Pelodiscus sinensis: one gene and its partners. The protein of the gene in region 1 interacts with the protein of each later gene in a biochemical or structural test. Links are inferred from orthologs where the notes say so. Each region holds a gene or a part of one and is shown on either strand. Other genes may lie near its edges.

Region 1 (3,745 bases):
TAGTAGGATCTGTAGTTGAAATTCAGAACTCCTTGAGTTCAATTCCTATTTTGATGGAGTGAGAGCAGCTTGATCTCAGGAGACTGGACAGGAGAACTGCTACGTTTTATTGGGTCTAGACTAGAAAGCCTAGGGATACTGCATGACATCGCCAATGTGCCACCCACATCCCAAGCCTTGCAGGAAGCCAGGCCTCTAAGATGACTGCAGAATTTAGTCGACAATAGGATGGCACTTTCAGACAAGGCACTTCAGGGGGCATCAGCTGAGGGCCTATCCCAAAAGAACAGCTCCCACCCCACCCCACCCCACAGGCGGTCCAACTCACCTCAGCCTCTAGAAAAGGCAGCCGCAGTGGCCGTGGCTCAGGAGGTAGGGGGCCCACGTTATTCAGGCCTCGGGGAAGCAGGCGTCTTTCACAGGCGGAGGGAAGGCGACGGCCTGACAGCCTCCTCACACCTGGCCTCGCCGCCATCGATCACTCGTCAGCGCCACACACCGAGACCACAATCACGCTTGTCCTCACGAGCGCGGGGGCAAGGGGAGCTGCCTTGGAGCACACGCCTCCAAAGGCCTCACGTTGTCCTCAGGCCGGATCGCACAATGGATCGAGGGCCCCTTGACAGCCCCGGTCCTAGGGGAGCCGCCTCACCGCTAAGTACAACGACACTGCCCAACGGCCCGCTGGCGTCGGTGCTCGAGCGCCCACGGCCCCGCCGGTGCGACACGATGGCTCCGCGTCTCCTTCGCGTTTGCGCTTCACAGCCCCCTGGGCCCCGTCACTGGCCGCACGTCACCGCTGGCGCGACACGCTGCCCAGTGACCCCCTGACGTCCCCGCGCGACGGCCACGGATCCCACGTCCCCGGCCACGGGTGCGACACGCTCGTAAGGCAACAGCCGCCCCTCTCCCCAGAGCAGGGGGTCTAAGCACCGTCTAGCGCAGCCTTCCCTGTCTCCACCCTCAGCCGCGCCGCGCACGCTCTCTGCGCCGGGCCGTAATGGCCGGCCAGGAGCCACTGATTGGCTACGCTTCAACCGCGCCGCCCGCCGATTGGTTCCGAAGCGTGCCTCTGGTCGCCGAGCGAGCCTGTCCCCACGTCACGGGCACGGCTCGAGCGCAGGCGTGCCCACGGCCTGCCGCGCCTTGCAGTCCCTAGGGTGGGTTTAACGCGACGTGCGTGCTTTACGCAGCAGTTGCCGCTCGCTTCTTCCGCTAGTTTCGTAGATGGAGGCGCCCGTTACGGAGTTTACTTTACACAATCACCGCGTGCTCGGTCTTTACGCAAATCGCGTCTCTCCAGCCCAGCTCCTGTCCACGCAGTTACTAGCAGCGGATTTGGACTTGCAGTTTTCCCGCGCTAGGGTTTATTTTGGGGGAGGGTGGAAGTTGCCAAGTTTGGTGTGTGTGGGGGTTGTCTTTTTAAAATGGTTGCTTCCAACTGACCCTCAGCGAGGGAAGCGTGGCGACCATTTTGAAAAGAAGCTCCACCCCCGCGCGGGCGTGAGCTCGCAAGCACGTCGCTTCCACAAAGATTTTTCCCGCCCTTCAAGTTAGCCAATGGCCGCGGCCCTGGTCACGTGGGATGGGGAGGCCAATCATGTATCTGAATTTTAAAAATAGCAGATTGGAGTAACAGGCCGCTTTGTGTTCACGTGGCTGAGCGAGACCAGTCGGGGGCCTCCGCGGGCGGGCACCTTAAACAAAAAAAAAACCCAAATCTCCATCAGCCGATCGTTTAATTATCTGTTGTACGGGCTATTCACCGCTACTACGCGGTGTGTGCGGGGGGAGAGCTAAGTTAGTTACAGGCGGTAAAGTGCTGAGCAGAAGCCGGATCCCGCCCTGCCCAGGGGGTGACTGGAGACTACACGCTTCATCCGTGGTGCAGCAGCACTGCCAGGGGCGAGCAGCGTTTAGTGTCCGGCAACGCTGCGCGGCGAGGGAGGTGAGACTGGGGAGCAGAGGCGGGGCGCTGGTCGGGCCAATGGAGAGCGGCGGCGGTTTAAAGGGTATCGCTAGGAGGGCGGTTTGAATTCAAACTGCTCTGACGGCGGTGACGGTGAGGAGACCTCGGGCGCTGGGGATGGGGTCGCCTCGGGGGCTGTAGTGTAGGGACGGAGGGGAACGGGGCTTCCTGGGGGCTGTACGATTGCGGCCGCGTTCGGGGGCTTCTCGAGTGGGGGGGGAGTGAGTTGGGGGGGTTGCAGCGGGGGGGGGCTTCTCAGATGGGGAGAGGGTGAGTTTATGGAGGGGTTGCAGCGGGGGGGTCAGTTTATGGAGGGGGTGCAGCGGGGGGGGGGGTCAGTTTATGGAGGGGGTGCAGCGAGGGAGGGTTTCCCAGGCGGGGAGTTTCCTGCAGGTGGGCGAACGTTGCAGCAGAAGGGGAATTGTGAGGCCTGTGCAGTTGCCTTTGAGGCAGTTTGTGAGCAGGAGCTGCGGGGAGGTGACGCCTTGTAATGGGGGAGAGGGTTGTCCGAGGAGCTGGATTTGAGGGGCAGGATCCAGGGACGGGGGGTTGTACGAGGAGGAAGAGCAGCTGAAATGGACACGGGGTTCCTAGACTCGGATTTTTCTGGCGGCTGGGAACCATCATCATCTACTCTCCCGGTGGTAACGAGAGGCGATTGAGCAGGACCGGATGTGGGAGACTACCAGTAGCGTGAGTGTGAAAACTGGATGTGGTGGTGTGGATGAGGATAGCAGAACGTAAGGGGGTGGGGGGCATGAGGAAGAAGTGTAGGGGGTGACAAGAAGGGTGCTCTGTTTATAAAAATTTCCATTTAATAATGTCTCTGCAATTAAATGTTCTCTATTTAGGTAACATGGAGAAAAATGGTAAAGAGAACCACAATGGGCTTCCTGGTCACAGTGTTAAGGTAAAGAAGTCTTGTACACTTGCGAGGCAAACACATTTTATTTGGTATGATCAGACAAAGATTCTACAAATTATCTGAGATAATTATCCAACTCTTGTATTGAAGCATTATACTCTGACATGGAATATTCACCAAGCTGCTTTGTCAGTAGCTCACTATTGTGAATACAACTTGTAAAGCTTCTATATATAGATTGCTTTCACATGTCGTAGGTGTTAAAACGTTTTCTTGTGGGGTGGCAGCTTAATCCATTCTGGGATGTATTGGTGGGAATGTTCCAAACAAGACACAAGATCTACATGTTTTGTTAGTCTTTAAAGTGCTGTTACACTATTTAAAAAAAAAATTTCAAGACACGAGATGTAATTCTTCCACCCCACTCAACATTGATAAGATCTGGCTGAAGTATTGTGTTCAGTTCTGAGCACCATACTACAATAAAAAGGGCTTCTTTTTAGTCTAGAGCAGTGGTTTTCAGACTACCAGTTGCAATCCAGTATTGGGCCACTGAATGTCAGGCACTGGGTCCCCTTGCTGTAGGATGACTAGTGGGGGTGGGAGGGGAACTAAAGCTGGCTTCCTGCCTGTCCTGGTACTGCACTGTGCCCTGGAAGCAGCCATCAGCAGATCTGGCTCCTAGGCAGAGGACCACTAGGTTATGAATACTGCCCCCCACCAAAAACACTGGCTCTGCACTTCCATTGACCAAGAGCTCAGGGTGGGGCAATGTTGTCTGTGGGCAAGAGCAGTATGCTTGCCTGCCTAGGAGCCGGGCCTGTGCCGGCATCTTCTGGGTGCGGTGTGATGTGCAGTTCCAGGACAGGCAAGAAGCCTGCCTTAGCACCCCCACTGTGGCTGCTTGCTGA
Region 2 (3,745 bases), on another chromosome or scaffold:
GGAGAGAAGTCTGGTCAAAAGGGCCTACTCAGCCTTGGCCTTTCAGACTGTCACAAGGCACCCACTGAGCCCCCTGGCAGTGTAGGCTCTGCTCAGTAACTGCAGTAGGATCAATGGCTCCTTCTGCATAGACGACCAAGCTGCTGTTAGAGGGCCAGGCCTCGGAGGGTATGTCAACAGTGCAATTAGATGTGCATGGCAGGTCTGTGCCAGCTCATACAAGCTCACCGGGCTTGGGCAACGGAGCTCCGTAACTGTGGTGTTGACATTTGGGCTTGGGCTGCAGTCTCAGCTCTGGCAGGGTTCTACAGGCAGGGCTCCAGCCTGAGCCTGAACTAGGTATGTTAAAATGTGTTTAATTATGTAATCAGGTAGCCACTGAAAATGTCCGTGGTTACATGGAGCAGGGGGAGGGGAAGGTGTGTGTGCGCATGTGCGCGCACCCTGTGTGTAACCGTGCATGTTAATCGATATGCCCAAGCTCATTGGTTAACCATGTAAACAGTTACACTTCCACATTGCAGTTCAGCAGCACCTTAGCCTGAGTCGGTTGGCACAGGCTAGCCGAGGGGGGAGGGGGTTCAACTGCAGTGTTAACATATCCTTTGTTACACCTGCCTGGAGCTTGGGATCCTTGGCTGGAAGGCACCAGAGCCCGTTAACTCTCTGCCTTAAAAACTTGCTGAAAGGGGAGTGAAAGGCTGTCTCGGGTGACTGTCCTCGAAGCAGAGCAGAAAGGAGGGTAGATGGCATGATGCTGCCTCCAGGTAGTCCCGGCCACTTCTTTCTCTGCTGTGTGAGGTGGTGGTGTATTGCAGGATAGGGAGAGCCTCTGCCTGGCTTTCCCTCTTCACCCTCCTGAGGATACCCTGCCATTCCTGCCCAGCTGTGCACTATCCTACTCTGGTGGGTGGAGTCATATGGGGCCTGTCTCACTGGAGACCCTTCCTCCCTTTCCCTGGGCACACGGACTGGTTTGAGCCACTCTGGGCCCAGCCACCTCTCAAGATTTTGCAGAGATTCTGGTGGCCAGATGTCCTGGATGAAACTACCATGGGAGCCTGTGCCTGCATCATCCTATCTTGTGTTCTAGGGCCCCAGCCAATGGGAATCTCCACCTGGACAGCCACCGCCGAGGGGTGTGAGCTTGGTGCTGGTGGGGAAGAGACGCTCGCAGCTTGTGAGAGGTACGTCCAGTTGTGCTGCCTCTGAGCACCGGTCCATGCAGCCCAGCATCCATGCTTCAGCTGTGACCAGCACCTGCTGCTGCAGAGGATGGTTGCTGCTTCCTATAATGCAGTTAGTCAACTTTGAGTTAGAGAGAATTCACTCGCGTGACACAGAGTTGGTGCCGCTGTCCTGGAGCCTGGTCTCCCATTCCCTTGCTGAACCCACAAGACTGCACTGCCCTCCTCAAGCTGGGCCTGGCAGTCTGGGGTCTTGCCTCTGATAGCCGTGCTCTGTTAGCATGCCTTTGGCTTTGACTCACTGCGTTGACTCCTCTGTCTCCCCAGAGTTCTCCTTGCCATTGTCTCTACAATGCCCCAGGCCTCTGAACACCGGGTCAGCCGGACTAGAGAGCAGATCATCACATCACAGCCCAAGGCCACCACCAAGCTCCTGAATGGACACCGGGCCGTGAGCCAGGAGCGCCACGCCTCCGCCTCCCCTGCCCTGGCCAATGGGCTTTCCATGGCTCCCAAGATTCGCCCACTGCCTCCCCGGCCCATCCCTCTGGACGATCGGGGGAAGAAGCAGGAGCTCGAGAGGGGCCGCGCTTCGAAGCGCAGTGACATGCTGCGTGGCTCGGTGCCCAGGCGAGGGCCAGTGAAGGCCGACCATGCGGTTAAGGTGCCTAGCTCCCCACAGGCTAGCACCATGTCAGGCAGTGCCTCCTTCTCCTTGTTACTGGTGGGACGGGACACTGAGCGTAGGCTGAGCAACCTTGCCCGCTCCAAGTCCATCAGCATTGGGGACCTGAGCCAGGCAGGGGGACGAGGGGAGGAGGCGAGCGCGGTGCTCAGCCGCCTGACGCTCCAGGACCGCAGCCCATCCTGCAGCCAGAAGCTGGGCCTGGGGCACTTGGCTCTGAAGCGGAGCACTTCGCTCAGGAGGGTCAACGTGTCTCCTGCGCTGGATGGGAGGCCTGCGACCACGTTGCTCTCTGTCCGCACTGAGGGCTGCTCCAGGACTCACACCTCCAATCCTCAGGCCCCCGAGTATGTGCGCCCCCTGGATGTGCCAGTGGCTGGGAGCCCACCCAAGGGCAAGGTCCCGTCTCCAGCTCCGAGCAGGCCTGAGGAGAAGGCTTCTGTTGTAAGAGTGGTTTGACATCTACTGAGCATGATGGGTAGCAGTCCTCCCTGTATGGGGGTGGATGGGCCCTGTTACTGCTGACACCACCTGGCTCTGCAGGGTACAGTGCCTGGCCTGATGTTTGGGGGCTGCAGTCTCAGGCTTCCTCAAGAGGGGGAGGCTTTCTCCCACCTTGCCCCCGCCCTGACTTGCCAGTGGGAGTCTAGGCTTAGTGCTCTCTGGTTTGCCCCAAGCTGTCCCCAGCCTCCTCATTCCCATGAGAACCCAGCACCTGTGGGTGAGATCCTGGGAGCAGGCAAGTAGAAAGCCATGCCATGAGGCAGAATGGCCAGGTTCACTGGGGTAGTGGGAGGGTGACGTGCCTCAGCGAGATTTGCAGCTGGGGCTTGGAGGTGGAGTGATTTTTGTTTTGTTTTTTGTTTTATTTTGTTTTGAGTCCCTTGTCTGGCTACAATCACCCTGCTTCCCCCAGCAGCCTCCTGCCCGCTACCATACACATGCAAACCTGCGGGGAGTGGGTGGCATCAAAATGTCCTAATTGGGCCTGCGGGATGTCTGGGGGGAGGGTCTTTGGGCCCACTGAGTGGGGGCACAACATGCAAGTCAGCAAGCAGCCCCCAAGCCCCTGACTTGTCCTGCAGCAGCAACTTTGGCTGCTCCAGGAACGGCTTCCATTGCTCCTTAGCTGGGAGTTCCACTGATCCGCTGGGGGGGGGGGCGCAGCGCAGAGAGCCAGCTTGTGGAGTCAGTCTCTGGTGGGATTGCATGTGAAGTTAACAGATGCTGAGACTCGTGGATTGCTCACTCGGGTGGGGGAGGGACAGTGAGTGAGAGGCAAAACCACAGACCGTCCCCTACAACAGGCCTGGTATCAAGGCTTTGCCCCAGGTAATGAAAATGGCCCAAACTGTCCAAATGCCTAAATTTTGATCTCCAAACTTTGAGATCCCCCCATGTCCTGACCCAGAACTTTCCCTCAGTCCCTGCCTGCAGCTCCTCAACTTTCCTAGCAAAAGAACCTCCCAGGTGTGTTCACCCAGCACCAGCTGATAGTGTAACTGCTAATCGGTTCCCTCTAGGAAATCTTACCTAATCTGTGTGAGCACAGGTGTGGGGCTGAGCGCTAGGCATGGCCTGCTGCCCCACGCAGGGCTAGCGAGAGCTTGGCGTGCACCCACCTAGCAATCCAGTGAACTATGGCAGCCCTGAGGCAGGTTGGCCTGGGGCAGCTGGTTTCTTCCCCACCCCAGCCCTCTCGCAGTACCTGCGGCAGGGTCGATGACTGTTGGGTTGTATTTTCTTTCTCTGGTCTACGGTTCTTCAAGCACCTGCTGTCTCCGGAGTAGTTCTCCTTGCTAATTAATCCCACAGAGATGAGCCTCAAGCAGGGCCCGGAATAGCCGGGGGAATCGGATCAGCTAATGAGCTG
Region 3 (3,745 bases), on another chromosome or scaffold:
ATAAAATCTTTGTCAATATCATAAAATAACTTAGTATATCTTAGCATAAAACCTTGAGCATAAACATCCCAAAATACAATAAATTTTTTTAAAAAAAGTTTTAATTAACCTTTTTGCTCTTTCATATTAAAGGTGTTTTAAACCAGAAACTACTAGTTGCAGTTTTAAAACTTCATGTTTGGTGCACTTCGAAAGTAACTCAACTGTGCAGCTTCTTAAATCTTCCTACATGGTTTTTAGTTCCTTTAGTGACATTTGCTTATAACTCTTTCAACACAGGTTCTGTTTTCATTCCCATGACTTTGCAGCCATAAAGTTAACTTCCTTCAGCCCTACACACCATGTTGTTCAATCTCAGTCTACCCATTTGACATCAGTTGTTTGTAATCCTTGCATCAGGTATAGGGATTTATTTCCTGACCAACCACTAAAGTATTTCAAAATTTCAGTGCAATTTTGTTCAATTAGTTTTCATCCAAATGCCATCACCGCTCAGGGAGATTAATCACTGGGACCCACTGATCCATGTAGCGACTTTCCCGGCAAAAGCAAATCAGCTGACTCAATGCTGGATCCTTCCATTGAGATGCATGGGGATTCTGGGGGGAAAAAAAAAAAAAAGCTTTTTAAAACAAAACTGAATGGTCTTAAAATCACTAATGCAAAAAGATAGTGCTACTAACTAATATACAACTAATATCCAAATGCAAAGCTGGGCTGGATCTTTCTCCTGATTTTAATTTGATACAAATAATTTAAAATCCTTTAGAGGTTTCTTGAAATCCTCTGGTATATACATGACTACACTGATAGGGATTCTTTTTAGTGTTCATGATACCGCATACACACACGTTCATAATCTGGTATATTTGAAACAATATTATATAGAGTAGGCCACAATTCCCATAGATTTCTGTCAGAGGTTCATGACAGTGTCAGGATATTGTAGAGCAGTTGTGGAAAATAGCTTCAAGAACATTACACTGCTCCTATGCTACCGCATCTAAACCTATAATCCAGAAATACAAAACAAACAGGTGGAACACTGCTTCAGATTACTTTTGTAACTCTTGTGCAGTATTGCACATAATGGGAATAATGAACATGTGTTTTGAGAATTATTTTGTATAGGGAAAAATATTGAAATAGGAGTTGCATGCACGTAAATTTACTCCACTTTTTAAGCAGAAAATTCTCTACCCTTTTTCCTGCTGTCTCGAAAGAGCAGGTAGATCATAGTTGAGTAATTACCTTATTTTTCTCCAGAGAAATTTACATGGTAGCTTTTGAGCATGGGTTAGAATTAAGAAATTATTACCAAAGTATTCAACCTTGCTGGAACTTTAAATGAAAAAATTCTTCTCACTCTAAAATCAACTACTCTGCACTATCTAATCTCTACTCTGAGCCAATTTGTAATAAGGAAAGAAAAATACAGGAGGCTGCTGCTGACAGGATCTAACATGTTTGAACATGTCCATAGCGGGAAGATCTTTTATGATCAAATCAGGAACAGCTCCGGTGCAATGACCTTAGTACAGGAAATAAAGTAGGGAAAAGGGCAGGATGGGTCTGATCCAAGTTCCAGGTCTGAGCACTCTCTCATCTGGGGGTGGCAAGTGTAAATTCAAACCCAGATTTGATTTATCTCAACAGCGAAGCCCATTGTAATAATGTGAGGAATAGGCCTCAGAGAGCCAGCCAAGCAGCAATAAGGGAATTCTGTGCCAGCCAGTCTTTTGTGCTCCTGTTATGGGGGAGGGAAAATGGAATTGTCACTTACTGTGACAAGCACACAGTGCAGGTCTGCAGGCTGCTCAGCTCCCCCATTCGCCCCCAGAAGCAGCAGCTCTGCCAACCGGCCTGGGTTGCTCACTCGCAGGATGTTAATGTCATTCTCACAGCAGAAAGCCTGGATCAAGGTGAAGTGGATTTGCAAAGCAACATCCCGATCATCCTCCTCGTCTGCAGCTAGCAAACAAAGCACCACATTATCCGGATCCCTGCAAGGGAAGAAACAACACAGACCGATTAGTCACAATGAATGCCCAATGTCATGTTTAACACGGACACACGCCAATGAAACAATACACAATGTCACAGCTTGGACACATGCAGAAGCTACTCTGTAAGGTGGATGGGGGTGGTGGTGGTAAGCAACCAGGGGCACAGGCATGTTCACAAGGTGAGAGCTGTCTACACACAGTATCTACAGACACATCCCTAGGTGCCTGCTGGCCGTGCCCACGGGGTGTCCCCCCTCCACCCAAGCACACACAGATGCTCCCCACTCTGCCCAGGCACGGGCTGAGGTGCTCTCCCCGCAACCAGGCATGAGGCGGGGACCCGCTCGCTCCACAGGCTGGCAGGGCAGCCGGCTGTGCCCCCCTTTGCCCGGGGGGCTACCAGACAGCAGCAGGGGGCCCCGGGCCGCTCACTCACACGTTGAGCAGCTTGGCAGCCTCGTAGACGCCGATGGTGACGCTCCTCTGGGTCAGAGCTTTGCTGAGAACTTCCTCCAGCGCGCTCCCCGCCGTCTCCATCCTGCGAGCAGCAAGCACAAGCCGAGGCCCCTGTCAGCCGGCCCGGCAGCAGCGCCCCGGCCCCGCGATCGGCTGACAGGCAGCGCCCCCCGCCCCCGTGCCGAGCCCCCCCCCCCCCCCCAGCCGCGGTACCTGCCCATCGCCTGCTGCTCTCGAGCCAGCTCCTCCAGAGTCATCGTGCAGCCGCAGGCGGCGCCGGCCGCAGCGTGCCCGCCCCGCCCCTCGCGACACACCGGCGGGGGCCCTGCCGCGACCCCTGCGCTGCCCCAGCTCCGGCTGCGCCGCCCGCACCCGCCAGCCGCGCCGCAGCAGCAGCCTCTGAGGGACAAAGGCGGCCGCGGCCGGGGTTATCCTGCCAACATCCAGCCAACCGTCTCCTTCCTCATTTGCATGCGGCCGCCCCATTGGGCCATGCAAATGTGGTTTCCCGGACTGCGTGTCCCCTTTGCCCGGGCCCCGCCGGCGAGAGGAGGTGGCCGGGCAGCCGGGCGCGTGACGACTGGGGCGTCTCTCTCGCCGATTGGCGGGGCTGGTGGGTTGGGAGGCGGGGTCTGCCCGGTGGCAGGGCGCTGCTGTCGATCATCCCTGCTGCTTGCTGCCTGTGTGGGCTGCTTCTAGTCGGTGCATCGCCCCCCCCCCGCTCCCCGTGTGTGTGTGGGGGGGGAGGGGCTGCCGTGCAAATCTGTTGCCAGGGCTAATGCTCGCAAAGCGCCTGGACAATAGTAGTGGTTAGTAAGCAGGTTAGGGGAAGCCAAGTGCAGCTGCTGGCGTGCAATGTGCAGCGAGGTGCTGCATGGCGCTGCACAGCGCAGCGTTTCAGTGACCCGACTCCCAGATGTCACAGTGCATGGGCTGGGAGGGACCTGGGTACTCAAGCCACCTTTGCTGCCCCATGACCTTTGGCATGCACGATAGGGCTGCGTTTGGAGGGGTGCTGTCCCCAGCACCCCTGGATTTCAGTGCAGCTGATGATTTACAAGGGCAAGTGGGGGGAGCCCAGCACCAGTGTTCCCGGTAAACTGTGTGCTTGTGTGTCTTGTTCAGGAGAGATTCAAAGGCCACCCAGCTGACTAGCAGAGTGCCCACAGGTAGGATTTTTGTTTCTACTGATGGTGCACATTCACACATGCCTTGGTGCACATACAAATTTAAGCCACACATGGCTGAAAAAGTTTAGCAGGAACATTGCCTAACATCGTTGA

What was found.
Region 2: the proteins of AURKA (region 1) and USP21 form a complex in vitro, tested with the Homo sapiens proteins (2 studies listed by BioGRID, with this or other methods). The link is inferred for Pelodiscus sinensis from reciprocal best matches to the Homo sapiens genes AURKA and USP21.
Region 3: the proteins of AURKA (region 1) and GADD45A form a complex in vitro, tested with the Homo sapiens proteins (2 studies listed by BioGRID). The link is inferred for Pelodiscus sinensis from reciprocal best matches to the Homo sapiens genes AURKA and GADD45A.

The regions. Positions count from the first base shown.
Region 1 is NC_134728.1:15,109,371-15,113,115, forward strand, and holds the start of AURKA (aurora kinase A), read left to right. Parts: upstream 1-1,588; 5' UTR 1,589-1,948; intron 1,949-1,975; exon of another isoform or gene 1,976-2,062; intron 2,063-2,359; exon of another isoform or gene 2,360-2,662; intron 2,663-2,820; 5' UTR 2,821-2,825; coding exon 2,826-2,879; intron 2,880-3,745. Other genes in the region: CSTF1 (cleavage stimulation factor subunit 1), read right to left, coding at 329-475. UniProt on the Homo sapiens protein: Mitotic serine/threonine kinase that contributes to the regulation of cell cycle progression.
Region 2 is NC_134734.1:13,517,217-13,520,961, forward strand, and holds the start of USP21 (ubiquitin carboxyl-terminal hydrolase 21), read left to right. Parts: upstream 1-1,038; 5' UTR 1,039-1,053; coding exon 1,054-1,187; intron 1,188-1,514; coding exon 1,515-2,316; intron 2,317-3,745. UniProt on the Homo sapiens protein: Deubiquitinates histone H2A, a specific tag for epigenetic transcriptional repression, thereby acting as a coactivator.
Region 3 is NC_134719.1:19,582,715-19,586,459, reverse strand, and holds the start of GADD45A (growth arrest and DNA damage-inducible protein GADD45 alpha), read right to left. Parts: upstream 2,872-3,745; 5' UTR 2,720-2,871; coding exon 2,676-2,719; intron 2,545-2,675; coding exon 2,443-2,544; intron 2,004-2,442; coding exon 1,784-2,003; intron 600-1,783; coding exon 486-599; 3' UTR 1-485. UniProt on the Homo sapiens protein: In T-cells, functions as a regulator of p38 MAPKs by inhibiting p88 phosphorylation and activity.